4 linked regions of the Drosophila melanogaster genome follow. The protein of the gene in region 1 interacts with the protein of each later gene in a pairwise test. Each region holds a gene or a part of one and is shown in the gene's direction. Other genes may lie near its edges.

The links.
Region 2: the proteins of CG42779 (region 1) and Pex3 interact in a two-hybrid assay, tested with the Drosophila melanogaster proteins (one large-scale study listed by BioGRID).
Region 3: the proteins of CG42779 (region 1) and CG42263 interact in a two-hybrid assay, tested with the Drosophila melanogaster proteins (one large-scale study listed by BioGRID).
Region 4: the proteins of CG42779 (region 1) and CG11007 interact in a two-hybrid assay, tested with the Drosophila melanogaster proteins (one large-scale study listed by BioGRID).

The regions. Positions count from the first base shown.
Region 1 is NT_033777.3:17,118,457-17,122,587, forward strand, and holds CG42779 (uncharacterized protein), read left to right. Parts: upstream 1-3,120; 5' UTR 3,121-3,136; coding exon 3,137-3,322; 3' UTR 3,323-3,631; downstream 3,632-4,131. Other genes in the region: cher (cheerio), read right to left, coding at 281-698; CG34278 (uncharacterized protein), read left to right, coding at 2,023-2,298.
Region 2 is NT_037436.4:15,141,808-15,147,302, forward strand, and holds Pex3 (peroxin 3), read left to right. Parts: upstream 1-2,547; 5' UTR 2,548-2,742; intron 2,743-2,861; 5' UTR 2,862-2,974; coding exon 2,975-4,132; 3' UTR 4,133-4,572; downstream 4,573-5,495. Other genes in the region: Pdi (protein disulfide isomerase), read right to left, coding at 493-646; CG32147 (uncharacterized protein), read right to left, coding at 1,442-1,903, 1,990-2,202.
Region 3 is NT_037436.4:19,953,536-19,958,087, reverse strand, and holds CG42263 (uncharacterized protein), read left to right. Parts: upstream 1-2,288; 5' UTR 2,289-2,335; coding exon 2,336-2,480; intron 2,481-2,540; coding exon 2,541-2,635; intron 2,636-2,684; coding exon 2,685-2,841; intron 2,842-2,896; coding exon 2,897-2,988; 3' UTR 2,989-3,541; downstream 3,542-4,552. Other genes in the region: CG42654 (uncharacterized protein), read left to right, coding at 3,578-3,698, 3,761-3,796, 3,857-3,942, 3,994-4,156, 4,214-4,293; CG42655 (uncharacterized protein), read left to right, coding at 4,430-4,538.
Region 4 is NT_033778.4:19,500,242-19,505,401, forward strand, and holds CG11007 (uncharacterized protein), read left to right. Parts: upstream 1-2,826; 5' UTR 2,827-2,946; coding exon 2,947-3,762; 3' UTR 3,763-4,353; downstream 4,354-5,160. Other genes in the region: CG15120 (uncharacterized protein), read left to right, coding at 1-38; CG16926 (uncharacterized protein), read right to left, coding at 283-398, 475-618, 688-811.

The DNA.
Region 1 (4,131 bases):
CTTCTAATGTGTAGCATTCAATCCTTTAAAAAAAAGGTGTTTCTCAGAATGATAAACTCCTAGGAATTCCTAAAAATCTACGGTTATCTTTCATTCTTTTCAAACGTAAAATAAGGGAATATTTTAAAGACTTCGATTAAGGGAATTTGATTTTTGAATTTGATTCGCGACAATCAATTTTCGAATGACCGGGAGTTTCCTGAAACTTCATCATAGTGAAGTTCGCCTGTGGCTCACGCACACTGCCGCACTCTATTCGCACACACACACACACACACACCTGTTGATGGCAAACGTCGTAGTGTGCGGCTGGCTGTTGGGCGTAGAAATGTAAGTTGCTAAAGTTGTGCTCCAAATTGTTATTGTTGCTATTGCTGGTCGTATAAACACACGCGTTTTGCTGATTTTGCTGCGAATTTGGCGCGTTCTTTCTGCCGTGACTGTTGCTGTTGTTGTAGTAGTGGTTGCCCGTATTACTGCTGTTGTTATTGTTGCTGAGGAATATGGTCGCCTGCGTCGTTTGACCGTTTGTATAATTCGCGTTTTGCACCAATTCACCGCCGTGCGTTAAATTTGCCGATCCGGGACCGTCAGCGTTGTTACTCGAGCACGTACCACCGTTAAATAAATTCTTATTTTTAAACGTTGAAGTTTGTCGCCGATCACCGGCATTCGGATCCGCCATATCAGCTGATTTGCTGAATAAAGAGAGGGGCGAGAGAGCGGCAAACAAAAAATAAAACAAGAGAGCATTTTCTTTCTCTTTAACATTTTGAGAATTGTGTTCTCTTAAAAATGTCTTTTTCTCAGCCAGCACACAAAACCAGTTTTCGAAAGAAAATTATTAACAGATTCAAGTTCAGTTTCAGTGTGAGAGCGTAAAGTTAAATATGTATATTTTATAACTTATAAGAACTTCGATATGCCCCAAAGTATGCACCAATAATAATCGGCTTTTCAAAGAGTGGTTACCCAAAATAAAGTTTTTTGTTAAAATATAACAGGTTTATACGACATTATTCCATTCCATTCAATTTTTCTATTTCAATTCCATTATGTTTTTTTTTACTTTATATTTATTTAAAATTTTAAAAAACACCCAATATTAATCTGCCATCAAAACAACATTAGTAGCATAAGCGTAAGCTCGGAGCGATAATAATATTACCCAGTAAATCAGTGACTAATAAACCAGTCATAGAATAAAACGATTCATTTTATTCGTTTTAGTGCACAAAAGCCATTGGTAATGTTTAAAAATATTTGCTATTTTAGTCGGCAGCATTACCATTCGTATATATGTATGTAGTTATATTCGTATATATAGGGGGGCCAAGCCCTGGAATTCTCAAATCCCGACCCTTTTTCAGAACGTGAACCCAAATAAAGTGACTCATGATCCCCTTGCACACCCACACCAACGCCCATGACCAGGGAAGAGCAAATAATTCTGGTAAATATTTGGCATATTTGAGGATTGCTTTTGGCAGTGCCTTTTAATTCCACTCCCCCTTTTTTCCGCCTGATCAAATGCAAAAACGAAAGGCAGAAGCAAATGCACGGCGTCGGCCAGACAAGTGAATGAGCCAAGCAAATGGGGCTGACAACCAGCGACCTTCTCGATATGGTTAGGAATTGTTAATTTTAGCCAAATGAGTCAAAGTCAAAACGGGTAGCTATGTACATACATATGATGAGTATGAGTAATGTTGTTTTTTTTTTTTTTTTGGCTCTGTGGAGTCCTTCGCGAAATTCCCCAAGGGAGTTATCCTTATAAGGCACTCACTTTCCTAACCACACTACTCGCCAAAAACAAAGCTAATCTATATCTAGACAATAAAATAATTCCATGATTACGTTCTCTGATGTTTGCCCAATTGTTTCTTTTAATGAGATTTTTTACTCTTGTCATGGAAAATAAATTTTTCGCAATTGTCATAATATTTGACTAGCCAAAAAGGAAAAGTATATATTCGCGAGGTTTTGGCAGTAAATTACCACTGCATCTACGGAGTTATCAAAATGAAGTTTTTCGCTGTTCTCTTCCTCTTCTGCGGCATTGTAGGATTTGCCATGGTTGCTTCTACGTCACCCTCTGCGGACTATGATTACGGATCTGATTCAACTACGGAACAGGACACTACCGCCCCTGCATCTGACACTACCCTAGCTCCCTTGGCACAGCCTCCATGTGGCAGCGGACCCCAAGGACCCTGTGGACAAGTCCCTCCCCCACTGCCGCCCTGCGTGGGAGGTCCTGGTGGCCTTTGCGGCAAGAAACTTTACTTCTTCTACTAAATTAATTCTAACTAGGTTAATTATTCTGAAGCAATAAAGTGAAAAAAGTTTTAGACCTATCAATTAGCCATTTTTAATGATTTACTCAGCCTTAAAATTATGGTTTACCAAGCGTTAACCAATGACATTTTGCAATATAACTATAATTATAAATAAAACAAAGAAGAGGAATGTAGATTTCTTCGACTATCTGATACCCGTTACTCAGCTCTCGATAGTTTATGACGTAAGAGTGGGCGAGACATCATTTTAAAACCAACTTGCGCTGCGTCTACTTCTATAGAATCATTATAATTATTAATAATTATGCATAATAATAATAGCAATAATAATAATACTGTTAACTTTTTAGCATTATTGTTTCCGAGATCTGTTAGAATAAGTTATATAAGTTAGAAAACGATTTCTTATAGCTTTTAGATACTTTTAAACAAACCTAGTATACCCTTATACTCTACAATTAACGAGTATAAGTTGACGATTAATTTGTTAGGTAAATAACAAAGCTCTAGCTAATGCTAATGTTCCTCATAAACTCAGCTTACGATTTAAAATACTTTAAATAATTAATATAAAGCACTTGTTTAAGAAAATCATAACCAATCCGGTTAAAACGTGTACTGTATATTTACACGTGCTAAACATTTGCCACGTGTACATTTATTTTTGGAAAGGCAAATTAGAGTATTTACTCAACTGTCCTAATCCATCACTCCATCCACCATTTCATCCATCAAATCTTGCAAGCACTTGTGTTAACAATTGTTCTGAAGTCTTATTCGTATATAAGGGCAAAATATGTTGAGTGAAATATCAGTTTCGATTTAAAGTTAGCAACATGAAGTTTTTTGCCATCCTCCTCCTTTTGTGCACCATGGTAGCTGTTGCAATTGCCGCAACAACAACAACAACAACGGAGAACATTGATTGGGGTTCTGCAAGTACAACTGAAATACCGGCAACAACTACAGCAACTCCATGTGAATCAGCTGACGCCAAGAAATTATATTTCTTTTATAAATAATATGGCTTCAAAATATTCATATTTTTGAGTAAAATAAAAATATAGAACAATCCCAAAAACTTCAAACACCTAAATAGCACTTCTACAAGGTTCAATGCGTATAACAATCGTATATTTTGGACTCGAAACCTTCACTACATTCCACAAGGAAGTGGAGCTGCTCGGGGACAGCTGGCCATATGGAACAAGTGCGTCTGGCTGAGGATACCCTTATATGGAAATAAACATTTCAAATCGGGCCAAAAACGGCGGCCAAGTGACGATGAATACGTGAGGCGCCACTTGCATCGCTGGGGAATCGCATGAATCAGCGTCGACGAACGCCGCCAATGAAATGCTAAATAAATTTGCACTTCCATTTTAATTAATTTGAATTTATTTGAAACTAAAATTACACCCAACATTTGCACAGCGAAGGCGCAAGTGAGCAAATTTCGACCGCCCATTGGACTAAAAATAAATTGACAAATATTTAGTTTTTATGAACAGGTAATGAGAACCACATGTCCTCCATTTTCGTCGTGAATATATCGTGGAAAATCGTGTGGGTGAAATGCAACGTTTGCCGATCGGATAAGGGCCACCCTAGGCCCACAAAACAACAAAAAAAAAAACTCACTTTTCTGGACGCCATATCGATGGTTTTTCTGTTGGTTGATAGGGATCGCTGTCGAATGATCTCGAGTTGTAATACTTTAGTGGGGGTGCTTAATACTGAACACTTGATGGCCCGCTAATTACACAATTCCTGGCGTGGCGAGCACGTTTCTCTCTAAAAAAACACAACACAAACACGACTGGCAAATCCT
Region 2 (5,495 bases), on another chromosome or scaffold:
AGCAGGTTTATGGCGACAACAATAACAAGTAGTACTGCAGTATAAGGCTATAAGGCCTTCTCGCTTGCGTGCACAGGTGCGGAAAAGAGATGGCACTTGCGTTTGAGAGAGCGCGCTCCTCCCTGCCCGTCACAAAAAAAACACAAGATGACGCGAGAGAGATAAAAACAGTTAAACAAACGATAAATTTGCTGGAAAATCAACTAAACAAATTTTCCAGGCCGCCGATTGGAACTAGTCTGTCAGTTGGCCCATTGATCAACTAGGATTTGCCGTGCAACATGATAGTCCAGATTTCAAGTCAACAACAACTGCCACGCAGACAGATTTTCTCCGACGCTTTGAAAGACCACGTAGCCGCTAAGCCGCATGAATCAGCGGGTGCGAGTGAGAGCGCGCTAGCGGCCGGCGCATTTCGCATTTTGATATTCGATTTTTGCCACATTTTGTTGAGATTTTCGTGCCTTATTTTCGATCTAAGCATGTACTTACAGAACTCGACCAGCACGAACTCGTTGTCGGCAATCAGCTGCTTGAAGTTGTCCACCGTCGCCACCAGAACACCCTCCTCAACTTTGACCTCCGCCTCGGCGGAAGCGGCCACGTAGGACGCCGCCAAGAAAAGTGCACAGATCAGGAATTTCATTGCGGGCACTCGTCGTCGTTTGATATTTATTGAATCTATTGCCCTATGTGGGTGCAGCACACTCGCCAACCAAAACTGGGATTCGAACTGCGCTGAACTTGCCCGGTTGCAAGTAGAAATTCAAATGAATTCAAGTGACAGTGAAACGCAGAGATATATACATATAAAGCTGAATTAGGTGAGGGATTTTTGGTATTTCTCTACAAGTTTCCGATAAATTTTACTAATATCGATATTTGTCAATGAATGAGCATTGAACTGTAGGTGGCGCTTGGGTGCCCAAAGGTTGGCAATCGTCGAAGGTAAATTTTTTTAGTTTAGGATCTCGTTTATATATTTGAAGTTTTATTTTTATATTTAACTAATTCAGTAATGTACTATTTTTTTTTTAAATATTACGGTTTTTTCGAATACCATAATTTTAAAATATTGTGATATAAATAGTATCGTATTGTATTGTATATAAGTTAACTTGTATTTAACATAAGGCAATTTGTAAAGGCCTTATAATTCTTCTTTTTAATTCATTTTTTTTATTAAATTTTATTTTAAATAACTTACGTCATTCTCTTTATGTCATTTACCCTTTTTAAAATAAAGACTGGTGTTGTGTAAACGCAAAAAAGACTGTGTAATTATTAATGCAGTTGTATTGCTTCTCTGTTTCATTGTAATAAAAAGTAAATATAAAATATTGTATCTTAAAAAGAATAAAACTCATTTCTTAAACAACTTAACAGCACACATGTAAATAATTCTTAAAAAGACAGATATTGGAAGAATATTTTGCGGAATTCAGGAGTCAAAAGCGACCACCTGTTGAATGCATTGTTCGACTATGCTAAAAAGTATTTCCGAAGTCTTAACACTACTAAATGGCCTATCTACAGGAGGTACATGGACAAACAGGCTTCGTTTTCTGTCCATATCGAGCGATTTCAGATAGATATAGCCGCAGAGAAAGTCACCCACATTTTTGGATGCCTTTGTGGCGCTCAGGGATTTGAGATTATCATTATGTGTCGGCTGTTGTGTGGGTCCCACACAATCGGCGCAATTCTCATTTACAACCGCCACAATCTTATCCACATCTAATTCGGTCTTCAAGACATTTGCATGTCCATTGTTGGGTAGTTCGCAAGTGCCGTTGGCCAGTTTTTTATCACAATTATCAGCTCGGCGGAACTTGTGATTGTACGCCAGCTTCTCGATGTATACACACTTGGCAACGCCCGAAACACCGACATGGATAACAAGCTGTTTTTTTTTTGTTTTTTATTTTTTTGGGAGAAAGATGATATCATAAGGCCTCTATCTATTTATGGTTCAATTGCGATGCTTACATATGGCTGGCGTTTCCAAATCTCCGCCACCGCCTCGTCCACAGCCCCGTATTCCACCGAAACCAACCGCTTTTCCAGATCATATTCTATGCCATCGTGAGTTAGGATTTCCGGCAGCAGTTTCACAGCTTCCCAGCTGGCGTTGACCGCTTCGTGACCGAGAAATGGACCAAATCCGGAGACTACAATGAGCTTTCGATCTGACGACGCCATAACAAACACCCCAACTAAACTAAACCCCCCACCAACAACAGAACTATCTTAAATACCATATGATTTCTATCTTCTTCTTCACCCTTTGAATCATGCGTTTCAAATGTTTGCGACGATGGCGGAACGGTGGAAATTGGAGCATATCGAAGTTTTTTATTTTTCGTCATTTATAGGTGAATTAACATTATTTTATATTTTCTATTTTTTTTTGAACCCACTTCGAAATAACGAAAAAATAAATAACTAAAAAGCATCCCCATTTTCAATAAAAATTTAAACAGTAACACCAAATATACTAAACGAAATGGTATTTTTCGGTATTCCCGAACCTCGCACTTTTGGGATTTTTCTTGAACGGAAACAGACGACGCAGTATGCGGCACCAAACAGAGAAATAACACATTTAGCGACAACAACAAAGGATAAATCCATTCCATACATTCCAGAGCTAGATCCGATCCAAAGGCCAGCAATCGACCCGATAAGGCGGCGCACCAGATCCGAGTTTCCGAGCAGGGGTATATAGGTGAGCACTACCTGGTAATCTAATCGCTGCGGATGAGTGGAGGACGCTCCTCTGTTGGCAGCGACGCCGGCAGCGCACCACCCTACGCACACAGGTGAACTTTGCACATTAACTATTTATTAACCTCGAACAGGTCGCCGGTGGAGCGGGAAAAAGTGGGATATCTGAACAGCAGTTGGCCTATTTCACACAGGAAGCGGATTCTAGTTGTCCATCCGGCAGAAGAGGCCTTTTCCAATCGTTAACATGCTGTCGCGCCTGCAGGACTTCTTGTCACGCCACCGGCGAAAGTTCATAGTGACCGGCGTTCTGGTGGGCGGTACCATCTTTGCGGCACGTTATGCACAACGGCGATTCGTGGAGTTCCAGGAGAAACAGGCCAGGGAATTCTTCGAGAGAACGCGGCGCACGACCCACTTTGAGTCGACGGAGAAGACGTGTAACCAGGTGATCCTAGGCATGGGCGAGGAGATGTGCCAAGCGGTTCTGAGGGAGTGCAGCACGGACGAGCTGCTCGAGCAGCTGCGCCAGAATCCCAAGAACAAGTTGGAACTTTGGGAGGACATGAAAATTGTGGCATTCACAAGACTGGCAACCTATGTCTACGCCTCCTCCATGCTGGTTATTGCGTTGAGGGTCCAGCTAAATCTTCTCGGTGGCTACATCTATCGGGACATCATGACGGAACAAAAACAAGTCACCGACGAGCTAAAGCAGCAGTATCTCTCCCTCATCCGACACTTTATCACGGATTCGGGCATCCGGGACTTAGCCCGTTACATTCGCACCCAGGTCATCGCAGTCACCAAGACCATACCGCTCTCCGAACAGCTTTCCCTTAGCGACCTGGAGCAACTGTTTTGGTCACTGCAAATGGCCATCAATGCGGACACTCGTCGGGATCCCAACTCGCGAATGAGCAAGTATCTGCTGCCCAGCCAGAATCCCAGTCATTCGCCGCTGCTGCAAAAGATGGTCAACGAGACGCTGGATCTGTTGGAGAGCGAGGATGCCGTTGGCGTGTGCTCGCACAATGTAAGCCGTGGTTTTGTGCTGGCCTGCGATGCCATCGCCGAAAGCATGGGCGAAACTTTGCAGCATCTGCCACAAGCTAAAGTCCAAACGCAGCAAGAACAGAGCGTCAAGTTTAACCAGGCAGGAAGCTTAGGCGCCAGCACCTCGAAGAGCCAAAACGGTCTGGAGAACAATAACTTGCTGAACATCAACCGAGTGCTGTTGGCGTTGGCAAAGCTCATTCCTATCATCAGTGGTCTCACCTCGAGAGGCTTCGATACCACTTCGCGACCCCACAATCTGCCCACCCAACTGCTAACCTTCTACGTGGTCGCCGAGAAGACAAAGACGCTGGGGGCCAACGTCTACGAAAGCTTTAGCTCCGCTTAGAGGATCAACAAAACTTGGATTATGCATCCGTGCATAGGCTAGGCTAAGACAATTGGAAAATTATAGTTTATATACTTGTATATTTTTAATAAGATCTGTATTCTCAGAAGCATTGTTTGTATGTCTGCTTGAACCCAACCCGTATTAGGTTTAGCTTCGTCCACGGGGAATCCTTTCAGGGCAGGGACACAAATCGAGTAACGTGAAGGCCTTTTAATCTAAATGGAAAGTTAGGAAATGCAACATATGAGAGAATCATATAGGATGGACCTGAGGGTAGTTTAGTATCCAAACTATATGAAAATGTAATTTAAAGTGTAATTGATTAATAGAATGATAAGTGACAGATTATTTATTTATACCATGCTAGAAAGCTTGGGTCTTAATCTTAAAGGAAGTGTAAACAAATGGCAACCTAATAAACTATGCATTCCCCGTATTTAAAGACTATTATTTTGCATATTAAAGTTTTTGAAGGAACTTATTCTTTTTATTCTTACAGCTAATTAAAACAGATATTGATTTATAGAATGATAAATTATACATGCGTACATAGGTGCATACTTGTATTGAATTAATAAGAAATAAATTCAATAATTATGTCGGAGATATACGAGATTCTTATATACTTTTTCCTCCAAGTTTCTAACAGTTTGCGGTTTTAAATGTACATAATATATTAATTTAGTAACGGAGCAACGGTTATCTGATAATCGGGGAACTCGACTATAGCATTCTCTCTTGTTATAAATGCTTAATATGTATAAAAATATAAGAATTGAATTATCGAAGACACAACCCACAAGTAACGGTTGTCTTTGCTATCAGTCAAAAGGGGGTGGCAGAAAACCGCCCTGTGATAAGACAGCTGTGTCTGTGGCTTTTGTTTGTTTGCCATTTCTCTTGTTCTTGCCGCTCTCTCCCTTGTTCACTCTCTTCAAGCACTTGCGCAGAAATGCCGCATGTGCGAAGATTCATTATAATATAACAATTATGAATAACTATCAAGCAGAAAGTAACTTAAAAGATTTCATAAATTGAACCAAGTTTATGCTTAAGGAGGTGAAAGTAATTAGATACATTTACATCACGCTCGCCCCTCTGCGACTTGTTCGCTCTCGCAGGACTCTCTCTTCACATCCGTCTCTCTTACTCCTTCGGGTGCCCAGCTGTCTGGTACAAAATTTCCATTTTGGGCGCAGTTGCAAAAGTTACGTGAAAAGGCAAAGGACAACAGTTACTTTTATACATCCCTGCGAGACTTTGCGTATGTGTTGGTGTAAAAAAAATAATTAAATATACAAAAATGAAAGAAATGCATTGAATAACTGATTCGAAGCCAAGTTAAAACCGAGTGTGCAAA
Region 3 (4,552 bases), on another chromosome or scaffold:
ACTATCACTGTAAGTTCTGTGATTAAATTATCGTTGTAAAACATCAAACACCACCGACCGCAATTATGGGCCCGCAAGTGTGGGGGATCAACTATTGGGTGTTTTATTGCTGAACCCACTAACCACCGAAATTGGTTTGTTTATCTGGCATTGGTACACACTTGCCCACAGTCGAATCAATTTACAACTTTTCAGTCAATCACAAACCAATCAGAGTGCAAAATATGAGCGCAATCACATCCAGCCATTTGTTGGTCGTTTTAGTACACCTAAATGTGCACTGGGAAAAATCAGAGGCCTGTTAAAAAATCAAGGATATCATAAAGGAGTACCATACATTTAAAATAAATAATAGAAATAGATATTAATAACGAACAATAAAACTAATAATAAGCAATATAAAAGAAGAGCAAACGATAAACTCGATTTCCTCGACTAGCAGATACCCTTTACTAAGATAGCGGGAGTGCGAGGGAGAAATTTCACAATATGTTTGCCATAATAATATAAGTTGGTGAGAAACAATTAGTTCAATAATACAATAATAAAATACAATACATTTATTTATATTGTACATTTTTAAATTGCGGCAATGAAAGATTTTTCGCTTATACGAACGGACAGATAAACGGACAAAGCCAGATCGACTCGGCTAGTGATCCTAATCAAGAATATATTCCATTCAACCTGTTAAATAGTAAATACACTATCAACGAATATTCTTCTACTTTTAAATTAACGAACCAGGTGAATTTTGCTGTGGATCAAATAATTGGAACAGCAATTTCAAAAAACAATTCGTTTTTGGGTGTTTGAAACCTATTTCGAAGGTACACAGAAAAATCGAATGATTGCATTTTTATTTAAAATTATACCAAAATATAAAATTACATCTGTATGCCTTTATTTATTTTCTTTTATTTTTATACGGACTTCGCAATAATATGGCTAATTCCGTTTGATATTTAATGACCAGGATGGTAATGATTTTTTTTTTCTAAGTGCAGGGAGCTCAGTGGGGACGGTACGCTTTGTGGCGTGAATGGCGCCATCAAGAGGCAGCCAGGCGGTGCTCAACTGGCAGCTGAATAAACAGCATCAACAACAAGTGCAGGGAATGGGAGTGGGCTGGGATGGGGTTCTGGGGGTATGGACGGATGGTTGGATGGGGATGGGGATGGGGATGGGGATGGGACCAATGCTGAATACCGTCTCATCGACACTTTTTCATTGAATTCAATTAAAAGCGAAATTGAAAATTGAAATTCAATTAAGATGCTATAAATACGGCAGGGATGGGGTGCAAGGGTGTCAAGCGGGGCAGAGAGTATACAGGATACTGTGGAAGCATTCCGGGATAGAAAGGACTCGTGGCAATGATGATAGATGAGCTGCCAGTGGCTGCTGGAAGTGGATGAAAGAGATTCCATCGATCTGTGTATTGGCTGGGAGCTTCGAGCGGTGCTTATGATATGTGACATGTCCTTTTTTTGAACTTACTCTACTTTCTGTTTTTTTTTTTTCTTTCTCCCTGACATTTAATGGGGCATCAACACCAACATGTTGGTATTGATGACAAATAAATTGATGCTGCAATCAATCAAAAATAAATCAACCATATGGTGCACCAAGATAATCAAGTCTGGGAAACAATACACTAATCTGATTAGGCTCATTAGTAAACCACCATCTAATATTGTCTTATTAGGCTTCGTCTTCACATTTCCATGAAATATTGCCCTTGAGCCACCCAATCAATTCTTGTTTGGTAATAACATCTTTTTTAATTTATGGAATTTAAGCCCAATGCATTCCCTTTGCAACATATTTTGTCACTGTTTGAACTAAATTTAAATTAGTGAACTTTTGCCAACACAAATCCTCTTTAACACTTCAAGTAAGTCCATGATGCGAGCTATCTTTAATAATCCCAAACCCCAAGCCTCGGAAATCACCCCCTATTTTCCAGTCTATTGAAAACATAATTTTTAGACGGCTGCTGCTTTCAATTAACGCATTAGGCAAGGAAAAGGCAGCAGTTTCACTTTGCTCAGGGGATAATAATGAAGAAAAAAATAGAGACCAAGGGACTTTGTCTAACTTTTCCGAAAGGCTAAAGTTTCCGTGGGAGGTCGAGGTCGTTCGAAACTTTGTTGAAAATGACAGAAGACTGCAGTGACCTAAAACCAGAGGAGATGCAGCAATTCAGTTTCGCCAGCTGATGGAAAGAAAGTTGAAGTTTATGGAGTTTAAAAGTTGAAAGCGGTTGGCATTATTTGTCAAACATGGAACTGTATTTTCTAAAATTTATAGCAACGTATTTTTCCTATTTTTGATGCCATTTTTAAGAAAGCTGGTCAGACAAGAATTTTGCTTTTGCATCTCGCTGACTTCTGGATGCATCATAGTTTCATTCTACACACTGTTTTTCGGATTCCTTAACGCAGGCACTACTGTGGATGAGGTTATATACAAGAACAGTGAGTTGGAAAAGTAAGGAAACCTGAATTTTAAGAACAGCATCTAAACCCAAATACCAGCACTCAAGACTGATGTTTATGCGAAATGGTTCAATGTATTTCATATAGCTCTGATGATCGCAGCTGCAGTTATCCTGCTGATATCTGTTATGACGGTAAGAAAATCACTTCCAATATTTTTAATTCTAATAAAATTCCTTTTAGAAGTACTTAAGGATCGTTTTCGTGTGGATGGCCATGTTCATCATTCATATGATATCGTACTACATCATCTTCAATGCTTTGATAAATGTTCGCAATCCGTTCTTTAAAAGTGCTGTCTCTGCGATTATTTATGTTTTCGTGAATTTAGTGACGTTGGGTAAACATATATATTAAAAATCTCTATTCTCGTAAGTTATGCTCCAGCTTTTCAGGAATCGATTTATTTTGTTTGCTCAAAGTCTACACGTATTATTATGTAAAAGCGCATCCAGATGAATTCAGACCAGTTTGTGTGGATAAATGAGAGGATGTCCTTAAAAATTAAATTGAGATCAGCGAAATTGATTTTTAAGATGATGAAAAGCAATAGCATTTCGTGCTCTTTACCCCATGCTCATCAAGTGAGAGGATGATGCTTTTACTGTGCTAATATGGCAGACTCAATTTTCTTTATAATTTCATTAGCATCTTGATGAGAACTGAAAACGATTCCACGCGTGCCTGACAAACACGACACACATCGGGCTGGAAATTCTAGGCTAATGCTAATGAGGCCATAATACAGATTGCTTAAGTTGTAATTATGCAAAAAAGTTAATACCACAATAAAGAAGATATGGCGGAAAATGTGAAGGCAATTTCGTTTAAATTTGGCGCCATCATCTGGGCGAGCTAAACATGAGTATTTGCTTAAAAGTTTTGCAATGTACATAAATTACGTATACGACTTGTGGTTCATAAACAAATCTTGTACATTGAAATTAACAAAGAATTGTTTTGATAATTTAAAATATACGTATAATTTTTTAACATTCAGGCTTAAAAGAAATTCTAAAAATAAAAATATTTTGCAGAATATCTTATTTGCATTTCCTGTCAAAACGTCTGAAATTATGATTCTGGCTAAAAAATTTTGCTTCTGTATATCCTTGCAAATGGGATGTATACTGATTGCATTGGCTGGAATTTTTTTGGCTGGCATGAACATTGACTATATGCTCCTTTGTTTAAATAGTAAATATATATTCACATTGGCATTAGTATTATTTTTTGCATTAAATTTAATGTTTTGATAGGAACCTATTTCAGAGAAATGCAGCACAAATTCCCAGGTAATTTAGTGACTAAGCAGTTCCAATGATTCCATTTGATAATCTAGTTTTATTACCCAGAACAAGCTCTCTACACTGTGATACAAATGTCTCCCGATTTGTTAACTATCTTGGCATCGTTCATGCTAATATTTGCAGTCTTATCGGTATGTATATAATATAATTAAAGATGGTTTTTACAAAATATATGTATTTAGCAATATGGTTGGCTGTTTTGGACAACTCTATTCTTTCAAGCATTTCAGGCAGTCTTCTTTCTTATTTTCAGTTTAGCTTCAGCACTTATGGGTTCGAATTTAATAATAAATGAGAGCACTTGGCATAATTTAACCTATTGGATTTACGTGCTTCTTTGGCTAAGTGGGAGCTAATTGTAGTATATACAAAACGAAAAGTAAATAACTTATTTTATTTTAGCAATGACAGCGTATTTCATGTACATAATATATTCGTACTATCGGCAATTAAAACCGAGGGAAACTGAAAATATGGAGTAATAACTACTAAGGAGAATAACTCTTTACACGTAGTATTTAAGTAATTTGTTTTTTATTCACAACTGCAACTGTATAGCATTGGATTAATCGTCATCAAAAAGAAATTACATGTAAATAAAAACAATTGTTTAATGAAATGTGGCGAGCGGAAAATTTCTGTTTTTGTATGAAACTACGAATTGGATGCACAGTTATAGCTTTTCTCACGCTTTTCCTCTGCGCCGCACACCTGGTGGAGTTTTTTCGTAAATAACTTCAA
Region 4 (5,160 bases), on another chromosome or scaffold:
ACATGGTGCCGACCTACGAGTCCTGCTATTTAAATTAAACTACGCCTCATGGTCTTGTCCCTTTACATACAATATCATAAGTATTTATTGAATTTTACAAAACATTACAGCATTAAATAGATATTTGTTACCAAAGTGTTATGTGCGTTTAAATCGATATATGCTTGAGATTATAGTTGTGTATATATAATATATAATTGATTTTGACCAACATCCTGGTGGGGATGCTAGTCGCGTTTGGGGCACGTCAGCTGGAAGCGAACGTGGCCCCACTTTAGGTCATCACTTGGTGGGGGCGTACTCGTTCTTCTTCACATTGTGGGGGGAATAGCGATTGTACAATCCCCAGATGGAGTTCATCAGCTTGTCGTTGTACTTGTTGGGCGAGTACTCGCGTTCTGGAAATGCAAAATTGATGCGTATGAGCTCCATTGACCCAGCGGATCGAGATCGTGGATCGTCATGTGCACTTACGGGTTAGGGCGTTCCCGTTGTCAACGGAACCCTTATCTGCGGCAGCGGACCTCAGACGGGCGATGATCAGCTCACGTTCGTTGAATTGCTCGCGAATCTTGCAGGCTGCGAATGCACCTTGTGGAATGGCGGCCATCTTAACAACTGGAGGCGGAGGAGGAGCATCAAAAGTTAGTTATACATTGTAAATACATGGCTAAAATCACCACCCACCACTTAGGGAAATAACGCTCAGAAGGGAGATGATGAAGTCAAAGTTTCGCAATGGGCTTGTATTCCAGCACTCGGTGAAATGCTGATCGAGATTGATGATTTTTCCGCACTGCTGCAGCAGCATTCAAAGGCCAAACTGAAAGTCCGGAAAAAGTTTGTGGGATAGGGGATATTTCGCTTAGATCGAAATGTGTCCCAGTTTCTTTGGTTTTTGTTTTTTATCACAATTTCAACTATGAATCAGATTAGGCCAATTGGAATGGTTAGCTTTGCACGATGGATTTGGCATTTGATGCCTGTCGTTTTTTCTGGGATTTGCTCGATTGTCTGCGATTGTCTATGTCTGCTACTCGGAGATGAACACTCAGCACAAGGGTTCGGATTTAAACTGAAGACGTCGCCTGGCTGGGAATGGAATTTATAGAACGCGTGTTCGGATCGGATCGGTTCGGCTCGGAGCTGCCGCCAAGTGATAAGCGGGAGACAGGAGATCAGGCTGCCTTGATAGCGCGATTATAAAGCCGGCAAGTGATCGCCATTTTGTGCCACTTATCAGTTGCAGTTGTCATTGTTTTGGTTTTGCCTTTTTTTTTGTCATTTCCACACACAAGCCTATTTGTTTCCAAGCTCTACGGGAAGTTTCGATGGGGCTGGGAAGTAGATTTGTGTACTTGATATGGCTATCAGAGCCCTGGATCTATAGACCAGTTTTGCTTTTTAGCCGCAGCCAAGATGAAGGGCTCTCGTTCCCATCACGAGTGTCCCTGTACTCAAATGGCTGACAATCTTACGAGACTTTATTCCAAACCAGATTAATCCGGCTGCCAACACACTATAGCATGCTGGCAAAGGCATTTGTGATTATAATATTATTAAAAACTGACCTAAGTGCACGTTGTTTACTGAAATTTTCACTTCATTTTTGTTTTGGCGCAGACAAGGTGCAAAAGCATCAACACCTTAGATTTGACTTTGATTAGTCATGATCTCGGATTTTCGAAATATTTTCTGTATTGATTCCCTATTTCATTTCTATCAAGTTGTACAAAACAGTGCACTTGAAAAAATCTTATTTTGTTTTAAGTTAATTGTTTTTAATATATTATTACCAAAGACACTAGAATTCTTATTCTATTGTCTTATTCTAGTGTCTTTGTTAATACTTTTTTTACTATAAAGTGAATGATTGGTTGAATTTAAATATAAAGCCACGAGAAAGTTGTTTGATTCGATAAGGAGGTTACTAATAACACAGTTGAAAATATTCTATAAATAGAAGCAAGCTCACTTTATTTGCCAGTGTATTGAACATAAAATAATCGCTGTATAAACAAAGAACGGCCTACTAGTGAAACCAGTAAAGAGGTGGGTGATCGATCCGATGGGGATCATGGAGATGACCCTCGTAAATTGGTCTCAATAATACGATTAAAAATAAATCGTTTAGTCCAGTGACGCGCACAGTGTTTACTACAAAAAAATTAATCTTTGCACAACGCGGAGAGTCAGCCACGATGGCGATAATACTGGTGATGCTCTATGAAGTGGGTACAAAATTCTCACAGTATTCACACAGTTCCAAACACATTTAATTTAGGAACTACAAAAAAAAAGGCCAAAATAATATTTGGGTGATAAGGCGACTGATGGAAGCCACGAGCGTCTGAGATCACGTAGAGAGCCAAGCTTTTTCGCAGATTTGAACTCGGCGTGTGTGCCGATAATGAAGATCCTCGATGCCTTTTTTTTACCTTTTTTTTGCAGTGGCCTTTGTGTGCTAGGTCAACAATCTCTCAATGACTTTAGCAAAATGCTGATGTAACAATAACTCGCTTATCAGTTTCGGTTGGTTTTCGGGCAAACAAATATGGTTGTCCCAAGTTCTGTTTATGGTTTTAACTTTTGATTAATTATCATTTAAAAAAAATGCTAAATACTAAATACTAAATACTTGTAAGATAATAATGCATATAAGTAAATAAAACGTATCAAAGAACGTTTAAGAAAGGCAAACTGTTAATTGATGATTTTGAATTTGAAAAGGCGCCAACGAACTAATACCATTTCCAGCACTGACAAGAGTGCCACTGTTCTTTTATCAGGTGGCAACGCCCGTGCCAGACAACTAGGCTGCTAATTTCTAGTCAACGGCGAGGCTAAAATTAACAATTGGCTGTCAAAAGCAAGAAAAGAAAAACTCGGGAAATTGTTAATTAAAATCGTGACCCAGATCAGCGCATTCAGCCCCCGGACGCAGAGATGACGTGGAAGAAGCAGATGGCTCTGCTGGCCAAGCCATACTACTGGGTTAACATACTCCTGGCCATATCGTACCTTTTGGCCAAAAAGACGCAGTTCATCTGCACCCGCCTATTTATTCTCGCCGGAGAGGATGAAGCATGCGACCTGGACAGTCGTGAGGTGGAAATCTTGTTCTTCCTGCTAATCGTGGTGATGATACGGTCACGCAAAACGGGCAGTGTCACCATGATTAACTACTTGGCCTCGTCGTTCCTCTACACCAAAGTGGCCAACGCCATTTTGTGGGCCTACGCGGACTTCCGCTACGGCCTGGGCTTTCTGCTTCTATGCGTCCTGGTGGGCATGGTGCTGCCGGAGCCCTCGTATCGCGGACCCGAGCACATCACCTACTTCCGCAACGCACAGGTCTTCGAGGAGGAATTGGCCAGGGACAAGCGAACCAGCTGGCTGATCTGCTTCTACACGGTGTGGAATCCCAGCTGCGTGAACTTCGCCCCCGTTTTTGCTGAGCTCTCCGCCGAGTACAACACGGACCACCTGAAGTTCGGCAAGATTGACATTGGACGCTTTCCGGACGTGGCCCAAAAGTATCGCATCTCGGACAGCAGCTTCTCCCGACAGCTACCAACTGTGATCCTGTTCCAACAGGGCAAGGAGACGGACCGCAGGCCCTGCGTCGATTCCAAGGGTAAACTGCAAAAGTTCTTCTTCTCCAGCGACAATGTGCGCGCCACCTTTGGCCTTAACCAGCTGTACAAGGAGGCCATCGAACGACTACCCATTGCGCCCAAGGAGGCCAAGAAGGTCCAGTAGGCTGTCCTGTCCACCACTGGTGCCATCTCATTTCTGCGTGCACGTGCTAATAACTGTTATTCGTTTAGTTCATAGTTTATTTTAACTTATTGAGGAGCTGCCACCGCCAAAGACACGTACAATTGCACTAATATTTGCATTCTAAACTCAGACGTGCTCTCGTCGCGATGCCATTGTAGAAAATATTTGTATGATCTTGCATTTGCATAAATTGTAGCTAATCACCAGGTACCAAATATATTTAAAAATGTGAAATGAGTCAACGAAAATACGCAGTTCTTTTTTAATTCCCAGCCGAGTCTAACATTTCATTCAATTAGCACAGCTCAAACGATCATTTCCGGTGCTCGTTTAAGAACAAGTAAATATTAAGATGGACTGGACAAGCGTAAATTGAAAGAATGTAATAAAGAACTTACGCTGTATACAAATAGCTAGTAAAATAGTGAAAATATAGAGAATGAATATATAGTTTCAGAAAGGTGCCCATACTGGTTTTCGGTACAAATGTATATAAAGTGTTTGTGACAACCCACAATTTTATGACATATTTATTGTATTTTATACGTTCTGACTTGCCGCTTAAAACAGAAACCTTCGTCGTATCCCCCCGGTTTATGAAATATAAAACCAAATGGGCCCGTTGTTGCTGCCAATGTGTTGAGCAAAATTGTATGGCAATGCAAATGGCACAACAAAAATGTTTCCGGCGTGTTGCGTTCTGTTCCGAAATGGCCCCGCAGACATCGGCCATATAGACAGATCGTATATGGATATATATATATATATATACATAAGAACCCAACAGGCCAGACGCAGAACGAAATAAACGCAAATCCCTTTTATCCATTCAATATGAACACACATACGTATAGAGAAACGGACGAATTTAAATGCATAAATACAGGCGACTGCACACCAATCACCACCCACCGCACACCGCCCACAACCACCCCCCACAGATGTGAGCAAGGCCTTTGTGGTTAATATTTGTATTTTTCTTTACTTTCATTGAAACGGCATGAAAATGGCCATTGCATTTTACGTGAATTGTATATGGTAAATAATGCGATTGTCTCACACGGCCGTTTTATTTGCGGAAAATTTAAATTCGCCATGGCAATTGGGACAAGATTCACACCGTCCTGAAGTAATTATGGGCCACTCTGTATCGCCCCAACTCAGCACCCGCAACAACCCAGACCAGTTGCCCCACACCCATTCCCACCAACCAGTAATGATTTCCAAAGGCTGTCACCCGCTTCTCACGACGAGAAATCCAATAAGCACTTGCTCCGCAGCGGCAACAAAACGCATTGTTGTCGCTATTTTCACGTTGATTTCCCTTATTGCCACGGGAAAACCGGTGCTGGCCACATTCAATTGATTTTGAGTGAT